2 linked regions of the Caenorhabditis elegans genome follow. The protein of the gene in region 1 purifies or fractionates together with the protein of each later gene. This does not show direct contact. Each region holds a gene or a part of one and is shown in the gene's direction. Other genes may lie near its edges. The genes, in order: ctf-4 and lig-1.

The links.
Region 2: the proteins of ctf-4 (region 1) and lig-1 fractionate together in Caenorhabditis elegans (co-fractionation; one large-scale study listed by BioGRID). This does not show direct contact.

Annotation. Positions count from the first base shown.
Region 1 is NC_003283.11:10,961,254-10,967,475, reverse strand, and holds ctf-4 (WDHD1/CFT4 second beta-propeller domain-containing protein), read left to right. Parts: upstream 1-1,936; coding exon 1,937-2,020; intron 2,021-2,066; coding exon 2,067-2,578; intron 2,579-2,628; coding exon 2,629-2,862; intron 2,863-2,910; coding exon 2,911-3,022; intron 3,023-3,067; coding exon 3,068-3,251; intron 3,252-3,295; coding exon 3,296-3,609; intron 3,610-3,653; coding exon 3,654-5,347; intron 5,348-5,411; coding exon 5,412-5,583; 3' UTR 5,584-5,642; downstream 5,643-6,222. Other genes in the region: eef-1G (putative elongation factor 1-gamma), read right to left, coding at 12-487, 814-946, 991-1,311, 1,379-1,501, 1,643-1,651.
Region 2 is NC_003283.11:10,812,363-10,817,289, forward strand, and holds lig-1 (DNA ligase 1), read left to right. Parts: upstream 1-1,750; coding exon 1,751-1,803; intron 1,804-1,849; coding exon 1,850-2,057; intron 2,058-2,103; coding exon 2,104-2,528; intron 2,529-2,574; coding exon 2,575-3,937; intron 3,938-3,988; coding exon 3,989-4,261; 3' UTR 4,262-4,356; downstream 4,357-4,927. Other genes in the region: C29A12.1 (uncharacterized protein), read right to left, coding at 82-141, 188-351, 398-594, 639-763, 809-1,027. UniProt on the Caenorhabditis elegans protein: DNA ligase that seals nicks in double-stranded DNA during DNA replication, DNA recombination and DNA repair.

The DNA of each region.
Region 1 (6,222 bases):
AATGGTCCTACCTGCCAGTCTGGGCTGAGTTCGAAGGCGAGCTTGTCACCCTTCCACACCCAGATTCCTGAGATGGTCGAATTGTTGTCGGTTCCGAAAAGAATCATGGAGGCGAAAGCATTCTTCTTCAACTTCTCCAGTCTTTGGTACATTCCATTGATAAGGTTACAGCTCATGAAGGCGAGAGTGAGATCTTCTGGGTATTTGTACTCGCACTTCCAGATGGACCAGTTGTCAGCATCGAAGTTCTCCCAGAAGTGTGGGATAGCCTTGGTAGCGGTGTCTTCGTTGGAATAAGATCTCTTGAAATTGTCAAGAACGAATGTTCCCTTTGGCATATCTTGGAATGGATCCTTGCTCTTCTCCTCCTTTGGTTCATCGTCCTCTGGCTGGGCAGCCGCAGCAGCTGGCTTGGCCTCTTTCTTTGGCTTCTCGGCCTTTGGAGCAGACTTGGCGACTTTAGCGCTGAGCTCAGTGAACTTGGCTTCTGTAAAATAAGAATAAAATTTAAACTGGGAATACAAAATCAGAAGTTTTTTTATAAAATTAGATTTCTTTTTAAATGTGTGGGACATAAACTAAGGTAACTTAGAATTGACTGCAGGACAACCCTGTAAACGACCAGTGCTAAATTTCCAACTCTCAGTCCCATGAAAAACGTTCCGAACAAAGCAAAAACAAAAACTGTTTCAAGCAAAGACGGTGTACATAAATCTTGATATTCCACCACTGTAACGCCTACTAATCGATTGACTAGTCTGCTGACTTCGCAGTGGAACAAAACAAATTCACACTAACAAAAAAGAAACTTACGGTTGAATTGAGCAACCGATGAGGCAAGGGAAACTTCTCCAAGAACCTCCTTAACAGCTGGCTGGTTAACAACGGTTCTGAACCAACGGGTGACGTTGACGATGGACTTTCTAGCGTTGGCATCAAGAACATACTGAAAATTAGGAGTGTATACATATAATCTGGGTCATAGTGTACTTGGAAAGCTGGGAGAAGATCAAGAGCAACGGAAACGTCGGCAAGAGAAAGACGTTCTCCAACCAAGTAGGTCTTTTTAACAAGAACACGATCGAGTACTTGGAGTTGTCCGTTGAGTTCATTCTTGTATTGTTCAACAGTCTTCTTGTCAAAGTTGGCTGCAGACACAGATGGAAGAACGTATCCGAGAACAGCTGGAAGAAGATAACCTTCTGCGAATTGAAGCCATTGGACAGTCTCGGCGTTAGCTGAGGTTCCAGTCAGGTGAAGTCCGATCGACTCAGCTCCGAAGAGAAGAGCATCTCCTTCAAATGCTGGGGTCTGAAATTCTGCACATTGATAGTTCACAGATCGTCAAATACTGACATCTAAATAAATTAAAACGTACAACTCCAAGTGGGAACTTGTCAGCTGGAGCAGCATCTCCGGCGAGGGTGACAGTCTTGTTGGCGAGCTTGGCAGCAATCAAAACCTTTTGGGTTCTGAAGTTGTCCTTGTTTCCATACAGTTTCTGCAAAATAAAAATCAATAATTGGTTAAATTTCGTCATTTCAAGGTTTGGCCTAATCATTTTTCAATGCAACGAACGGAAATCACGTTAACTATTCTTAACAGCACTGCAAATTTAATGAAATTAATTTTATAAACTTACTCCGGTCATGATGTCACCAACGAGTCGGAGAATCTAGTGAAGCGACGCTCAAAGAAGAGGCGCTTGAAAAGAGTGGTGTTCTTCAGAGGAAAAATACACTGAAAAGTCTGCGTATGTGCCCCTGGCAGAATGCCAGTACGCAAAACATAGGGGTTCTACGCAGTTCACTGGTCCATGGTTGCATTACACTTTTTTACCGCATTTCGGCGCCAAGAATCAGGTTTAAAATTTGCTCGCATTTTATTTATTTTTGATGAAAATAAATAATTTCACTCGTAATTCCATTGTTTTCAGATGAGCTTTACTAACGTTAAAAATTTGGAGAATATCGGCCTTCAAACTATCTGCATTGATGCTTCAGGAGAAGATACTGAAAATGTAGGATTTAAAACGATTTATAAACATATTTACCTGTTTTTTTCAGATTTACGTTTGTGATGCTGAACGAAATGTACTCAAGATCAATAAGAACGTGTTGCTGCAAGATGAAAAACCTGAAATAATCGAGATTCCCGATGCGACAACATCATCTATTGCTTGGTATGGAGAAAACATCTGTTTTGGTTACCGCAAGGTGGATTTCATTGTTGGATCCGAGCAGCAAATGGTGGGACGGGCGAAAAAGGGCAATTTCGAAGCAGGAGATATTATTGATCCTCTTGAATTCCAAATGGATGTCACAACGGTCGACGCAAACAGGGAAAATGTTATTGGAGGATCTAGCGATTATGCGGTTAAATGCACGAATATGAAAGATTTAGATGCAGAGCTGAAAACGAGAAGTCTTGAAGCTGAAGTTCTTTGTGTCAAACTGGATCCAAAAAATGAATTTGTGGCCGTTTCTACTGTGGATGGCAATGTGACTATTATAGACATTGATTCATTCTCGATTAAACACACACTGACCAAGGTTTTCCCAAGATTTGAAACAATTGAGTTAGTGTTTCATGTTATACTTCGGTTTTAAACAATGTCCTGTTTTTCAGTGTTTCACGACCTCGTATTCAACTCTCATGGTCAAAGGATGGTCAATGGCTGTTTGTTCCTTCAAAAGGATGTGTGAAATCGTACCGTCGAAATGGGTGGGAAGAATCTGGTGTATACCGTTTGAAAGATCATGCTTCTGTGGATTTTTCGGTTACTGCGCTTTCGCCGTGTGGGAAGTATCTTGCCTCCTCAACCATGGATAATCAAATTGCTGTTTGGAATAGTGATGAATTGTAAATTTAGGTAAATGTGTGAACTGATAAATAATACATTTTTTCCAGAGATATTGTGTGTTGTGAAAAATTCGTGAGAAATGCACCTGGTATCACTATCATCACTTCTATTGTTTTTTCTCCATTCTCCCCAAAAAAATTGATTGTCGCTGATTCAAATGTGAGTTTTTCCCTTTTCGAGCACTTTCAAGTAACAATATTTTAGAGAGGAATCTGTTTGTTTAATGTCTTCAAAGATGATTCATCTAACGAGAAGCCTGTTTCAAACAAAACTGAAGATGTTGCAGTTGATAGTGATGATGACGACTCAATCCTTTTGAATAGAACTTCACTCAAAAAAGATAGTTTATTCAATGAAGAAGCCATTGAAGAAGATGAAGATACCCGAAGTGAGGGATTGTAAATATAATTTCTCTTGATGTTTTAATTTTAGTGTCTTCCGATCTTGGAGCTATCAAACGACAATTCAATTATGGGAACCAAGATCTTGGAGGGCTTGAAGAATTCGGTTTTAAACTCGGTGAACCTGAGGAAATGCGACCGATGAGCTCGGACAGAAATTTGAATGATCCTCTCCCGCAAGTCTATTCTGATCCACCTGCTCCCCGAAAAGTTCTTATTCCTGAACGATTTGTATCTAACAGCTCTCCAATGGATCTCGACGCAACACAAAGGTTTCTGAAGTATAATCGATTCGGAATTATTCGCAGCTACGTTAACGAGGCAAATAAAGTTTCAACGATAGATGTAAGTTGTATAAGCTTGCTTCACAACAAGCGTTTTTTTTTCAGATCGAGTTTCACAATAAAAGCATCCACGGTGATATTCATATTGACAACTTTGAAATCAACTACGAACTCGCGGATATTTCGTTGAAGGTTGTTGCACTGGCAAGTGTTGAGAGCCGGAAAAAAGAGAAAGAACTTGACAAAGCAAACGACGACATTGAAGATCTTGAAACTGATGAACCTGCTAAAACAGAAAAGAAAGGAACTAGTCTTCTACATGTAATTCCAATTCAAGCATTCGACAGTCAGCGGTGGTCGATGGTTCTTCCTCGTGGAGACGGGTGTATTGATGTGCTTTGCTCAAATACTCAAGTCGTTGTGCTCACGAAAAAACGAAACATTCGAGTTTTCACTATTGGAGGAATTCAACGACAAATATTCACACATTTCGCACCAATTCTCACAGCTGCTTGCTTTGAAGACCGACTTGCAATCGCTTCGGTGTGTGGATCGGAATTTTATGAACAGAAAAAGACACCTCAATGGAGATTCGAAGTTGTAGAATATACTTTAAATCCAAAATCATGGTATCGAGAAAACAGACATCATGGTTCAACTGGAGCAGTTTCCCGAATTGATGTGCCTATTGAGACTGGAGAGCAATTAGACTGGATCGCTTATTCAAATCAAGGAAAACTTGCCGTGATGGATTCAGCATACACTGTACATGTTCTATCCGCTCCAGGTCTGTGGATTCCTATTTTCCAAGGCTCTTCTGCTCTGAGAGCACCTTCGGACGCAATTTTCCCGATTGGTCTCACAGTGAAAGAATTTCGATACATCTATTGTCGCGGATCCCGATCTCCCCTTGTAAATGGAATCAATGCACCGACTACTGTAGAATTCAAAGTACCATTCTGTCAACCTGAAAGCCATCGAACTGAAATGGAACATGAAATGTTCCTCAAAGAGCTATCGTTAGCTGATGCAATACTGGAACGTAATGGTGACAGTCATGTTGAAGAGGCAAAGACTTTAACCAAAACTATTGTAAAACTGTTTGCCTGGCTTACAAAAACCAATTCTGATGGTCAAGCTGCTGAAGTTGCTGCTCTAGTGTCTGGAGGAACATCTGCATCCGCTAAAGCTATTCAGAGCTTGTGTAATTACGCCAGTAAATGCAAAAAAGTGGCTTTGGCTGAGAAGGTTGCTGAAATTGGACGTCGACTGACAGAAGATGATGATGATCGTAGCTGCAATGACACTGAAATTTGGCCAACAAAGCGGATTGCATTAGCAGCAAGAAAAGCACAGAAGGCTCCTAGCCCAACTGTTGAATCATTGAATGAAGATCAAACGAATGATGGAGACGAATCTTCTTCTCGTTATAATCTAAATATGGACGTCTCTATGATGTCTCAACCTGTTCAACCATTGGAACGGCTTGCAAAAAATCCGTTTGCCAAAGGTTCTGATACTTCTAAAATTGATTCAGCTGCTTCTTCGCAGGCATCATTATCTATCTTCGATCAACTTGAAAGCACATCAAATGACCAAAGGAAACGGGCTCGCGAACCTGAGACAGTCACAAGCACGAATCAAACTGTTCGTAAACAGGCCAAACTTAATTTCGGTGGAACTCAGCAGTCTGATGAGAAGAAAAAGAAAACGTCATCAAAAAATTCGGATCTTGGTCAGAAAGGAAAAGAAAATGAAGCAGAAACACTTTGTCCAATCGAAGAGCCCGCGAAAAAAAGGTAGGAATTGTCACAATTTTCAGAAGGTTCATTTATTATTTCAAAAAAAAAATCAAATTTTCAGTGTGAGTCCGTACGAGATGTGGCTGACGGAGTCGAAAAGCAGCCTTGAGTTTGACTTTGATGGCGATAATGCTGATTTTTCAAAGTTCTGCATTCAAACGTTCCGCGCACTGAGTAAAAATGAAAAAGAAGAATGGAAAGCAAAAGCACTGACTGCTGCTGCTCAAGACTAATTGCAATTTGCTTGTTACTATTTTGATTCAATTTGTACCATATAAATTTGACTACGTCACTTACATCTGTTCGTCATTGTTTTCGATGTTTCCAAGTGCACAAAGAACGCTCAAAGTTATCTTTTACCACCTGCGTCTCATAGTCTTTCGTTTCACTTTCAATTCAACTGAAATAGAGTGAAAAGGAAAGAGTTGGAAGAGCCGGCCCAGAGTGAAGAGCCTCCTCTTTCACTTCCTTCAAGGTCTCCAGTTCCTCCAACTTTTCTTTATCTTTCTTTTCCCCGCCCTCCTCCTCCACCTTTCCATCTCTTCCAATGGTCCTTTTCCATGCTTCTCCCCTCTTCGCGTGTGTCTGTGTGTGCTCTTCTTTCGTGTCATTGTGCCACCTAAATCAATTTCCCTCGTTTTTTTGTCGTTGAGTATGTGCTGCAAGCCTAGGGGACCCTCGAATAGTGCATGAATTGATGAGACGTAGACACTTTGCTTCTTTTCTGAGCTCCCGCGACAGCCGCTGCCACCGCTTCTCGTCGGCTATTTTGCTTCAAACTAAAAGTTTGAATTCATTTTTTTTACTCTTCTTACTCCACCCTTCCTCTTTTTTTCAATTCACCCACTCCTCTTTTCTTATCGATCTTTACC
Region 2 (4,927 bases), 150 kb from region 1:
GGTACATGAAAAACGACTTATATAAAAGCTATGAAATGAACAATATAGAGTTATCATCTGTAAGAAATAAATTTAGGCGTCTTATTTGTGATGATGATCGATGTAGTCGTGAATAGCTGATACGCTTCTGCGGATTGTTTTCTAAAATTAAATAGGAATGAAAATAAATCGGAATCCATTTTTATACCTTGACAGATCCCAAAACTTTCCGGCCAAGGCTGCGAGAGCGACGTTTTCTCGGAAGATTGGGCGATTCAAAGGGTGTAGAAATGTCTTCCGCAGGGGTCTCAAAATGTTCGAAATGAGGTGTAACGTTTACAGAATTAATGGCTTCCGCATAAGCAAGGTAAACTGAAACAGTTTATAAATATTAAATCAATCAACCTGAAATTCATACCTTCGTGATCTCTCATAGCTTGTGAACGAGCCTGCTCTTGAAAATCTCGCCGGATATTTTCAGCTTGAAGATCTCTCAGTTTTTTTTCGGATTCCATTGTTTTCTTCAGCTGCTCTTTCTTCAATTGCTCCAGTCGTCTCATAACAATTTCCTTCTCATTCAATAACTTTGCATGCTTTCTTTGAGCATTTGACTTTCTGAAATGATATTTTTAATCCAATTATTTACTTTTTGAACTTACGCGATGAACAATCGCTTGTTCTGGTCGTTATTGACAATTTTGTACATATTTTGTGTGATGGAATTTATTGCATTGACGACATCAACAAGGCATTCCATAACTGGAGCATTGTCGGCAGGATTGATCTGAAAAAGGAAACAAATGTTTGTTAAACACATTCTCGTCTATACCTCCGACACAGTTTCTGCCACGTGAACACGTATGGAAAAATCTTCAAGCTCGTCAGTGAGTGTTCCGGCCCCATCCATCCACTTCTGTGCCCAGGCGACTAGGTTTCGCTGGTTCTCTGGCGCCTTTACATTTTTACACAAATCGAGAAGGACTGCCAACCATTTTGCAGCCTCATTATGTAGTTCATCGAGAAGGTCCTTTTTCTGTGACAGGGACATTCTGAAACAGTGTTAGAAAATGAACATCGATGAAAGACACGTGTATTCAGCTCGACTAACGCCTCGAAAATTTTCAAAAAAGGCGGGAAAAAATATTTGAATTCGCCAAGAGGAATTTCACCGCAGCGCGTGCAAAAATGTCTGCATTTGCGCGTGACGGTGTTTGCACAAATTACACCGAATGGTCGAGCTGAAAACACGTGAAAGAAACTGAATGCCGTTATTTTCCGCGACGTGCTGAAAGTCGGTATTTTTGATGTGCAGGCATTGGAGTACGGTAGCAATGAACTTTTCTTTTGGTAGGTTCAAATGTGTTGTCTAAATATTCTTTTTTTTATTAATTATAGGTCTCTCACTATCTTTTAAAAAGCAAATAGACGATGGTATTTTCAATGTCCCATTTTTCTATTTTTAATAACGTCGACTTTAATCACAAGGAAAGAAGCATTTACGATTTGCCGGTTTTTAACTGTCTATGTCTCTTAGTCTCCACACTCTCTCATGTGCGCGCAATCGTGCTCTAATGCATCTGGTGCGCGCGCCGTTCAAAATGTATCGTTTTCTGGTTCGATTAATACAACTTTATTTTTAATACTTGCTCGATATTCTCTTGATTTTGCACACTGCCAAGTATTTTACGTTGTATCCCTTCACGTATTAATTATTCATCTTCGAAACCTTTTCTTCTCGAATAATGTAAATTTCACATCTTCATCGTTTCAGATGTTTTTCTCAAAAGCTGGCAAAGCCGCTGTTGAATGGGCAAAGGGTTCAAAGTAAGTTTTTTGTGGAACATACTGTTTTTTATTTCTAAATTTTCAGAGTCCCTTACAAGGAGTTTGCTCTCACCCTTGAGAAAATCGAAGAGTTATCGGGAAAAAAGAAAGTGGATGAATTGGCTCAATTTTTCACCAAAGTTCTGGACTTTTCACCCGACGATTTAACAGCGTGCGTGTACATGTCAGTTAATCAGCTCGGGCCATCGTATGAAGGGCTCGAGCTTGGAGTTGCTGAAAATTCGCTGATCAAGGTTTGCATTCCACTGAATCTATATTAAATTATAAAGAAAATTTAAGGCTGTTGCTAAAGCGACCGGACGTACAGAGGGAAAAATTAAAGAAGATCTTCGCGCGAAAGGAGATCTTGGGACTGTCGCACAACAGTCAAGATCCAATCAGAAAATGCTTGCTGTTCCAAAAGCATTAACTGTTCCAACTGTTTTCAACAAGTTAACCGAAATTGCAAAGCTCAGTGGCACTTCAGCTATGAACAAGAAAGTTGATGCCATTAGTGCACTCCTCATTGCATGTCAAGGAATTGAGGCTCGATTCCTCGTCCGAATGCTCGCCGGCAAAATGAGAATCGGTCTCGGTGAACAAAGTGTTCTATCAGCACTTGGACATGCATTCACTCTTTCGAAAATAACTGATCAAAAGGTTCGTGGTGACAAACTCGATTCTCTGAAAGATGCAAATGTTAAGCGAGTAAAGACCGCCTATTGGTAATAATTGTTTCTTTATTAAATTATTCATCTAATTAATTTTCAGCGAATGCCCTAACTACAATCGTCTGATCGAAGTTGCACTGACTGAAGGTGTGGAAGCTCTTGTCGAAAAATGTAAACTTTCACCCGGAATTCCACTGAAACCTATGCTGGCTCACCCTACAAAGGGAATTGATGAAATTATGCGACGATTCAGAAATCAGACAATGACCTGTGAATGGAAATATGACGGAGAACGCGGCCAGATTCATAAACGAGAAGACGGGCAAATTTTCATCTACAGTCGAAACCAAGAGAACAACACTACCAAGTACCCCGATATTATCGAAAAAATTTCATCCTGCATCGGGGATGGGGTAACTTCATTTATTGTCGATGCTGAAGTTGTAGCTATCGATGAGGCTGGCTTAATTCTTCCGTTCCAAGTTTTGTCGACTCGTAAAAGGAAAAATGCAACTGATGATAACGGAGTCAAGGTTGTAGTTTTTCTTTTCGATCTTCTCTACTTCAATGGGGAGCCTCTCGTGAGAAAACCACTCCGAAAAAGAAGAGAACTTCTTCGAACAAACTTCAAAAAGATTGATGGAAGCTTCTATTTTGCAACTTCCGTAGATACAAATGATACTGATGAAATCAACTCTTTCTTCGATGAAGCCGTTCAAAATAAATGCGAAGGACTCATGATCAAAACTCTCGACACTGAAGCTACTTATGAGATTTCAAGACGTTCCCACAGCTGGTTGAAAATGAAGAAAGATTACGTTGATGGAGTAGGAGATACGTTGGATCTTGTCGTCATGGGTGCTTATTCTGGAGTTGGAAAGAGAACTGGAGTGTATGGAGGATATCTTCTCGGATGTTACAATCCTACTACAGAAGAGTACGAAAGTGTATGCAAGATTGGAACTGGTTTCACTGATGAAGATTTGGCCGAGCAATACAAGATCCTACAAGACAAGAAAATTGACAAATCTCCTTCTTATTATCAATTTGATCACACTCTTAAACCAGATGACACTTTTTCTCCGTATCTTGTTTTCGAAGTCAAATGTGCCGATATTACTATATCTCCGCGTCACAAAGCTGCAAGTGGATTGACGGATGATGGAAAAGGAATCTCTTTGAGATTTCCTCGTTTCCTGCGTATTCGGGACGATAAAAATTCCGACGATGCAACATCTTCGGAGCAAGTTCTTGAAATGTACAAAAACCAAGAAGCTTTTGCCAACCAGAAGATCGAAAAGGCGGATGCAGTTGATGAGGATGACGAATTTGAAGAAAAAGAAGATGAAGAGGAGGAGTTGAACATGACCAATGTATCTGAAGGAAGTTCTAAAGAAAATCCAGTGAAAGAGGAGATCAAGAAAGAGACTCCTAAATCAGTATCCCCGAAAAAATTCGAAAAGGTTTTAGTTTTTGAAATTACCATTATCGCTAATTATATATATTATTTCCAGAAACCGCCTGTAAAATCTTCACCAGTTAACAAATCGCCCGTGAAAAGTTCACCAATAAAGAAAGAAGCAGAGAAAAAGAAAGGACCAGTTGCTAGCATCTTTTCATCATCGACAAAGAAGAATGAAAAAGACGTTAAAGTGGAATCTCCATCTCCGATCAGAAAGAAGAAGCTGCCTTCTGATTCTGACGAGTCTGATGAAGAAACCTCAACTAATAAGAAACAGCCAGCAAAGAAGAGGTCTCGCGTTGCAATTGATTCCGATTCCGACTAATGCCAAGCAACTAATACTGAGATACATTTCTGCATATTCAATGATTTACTTTTTGTACTATGTTTCCTAATTTTCTAAGTAAATACCTCACATCGACTTTTTCTTTTGTTCACGGCCGGTCATTTTAAACAACTCATTCATGTGTGCGAATGTGTTGTACTTTCAACTGATTTATTCAGAACTTTGGATTTTGAGTCTTCTATTTAGGAAAGAGATAGACGCTGACCTAGATACCTAGAAACAAACACATAGTAAAACTTTACTAAAAAGACAAATGTATATCTACATTCTACCACGTCTGTGTACTCCTGAATCATCTTCTCTCCTTCGTGCATTCTTCTGTTGTGTCGTTGACTTACGTAGTGCGCATCCGCAAAATTCGATTTGCAGTTCAATACGGGAGAGCAGAAAGCATAAGACATTCTGATGCCTCAAACCAATTCAATTAATATTCTTAAGTTTCAAACAAAAAGTTTATTTAGAATTAAAACTTTGAAGCAATAATTAAAACTTTGAACAAATCTAGGTGAATTTGTCACGTCATTCCATGAATCCGCTACTATCCAAAAAAGCGTATCGGGAAAGAATCGTAACAGGTATCCTTCTCACAATTTTGTGGAAAACATTCAAAATTTCCCTGTAATTCATTTACATATACTTCAAATG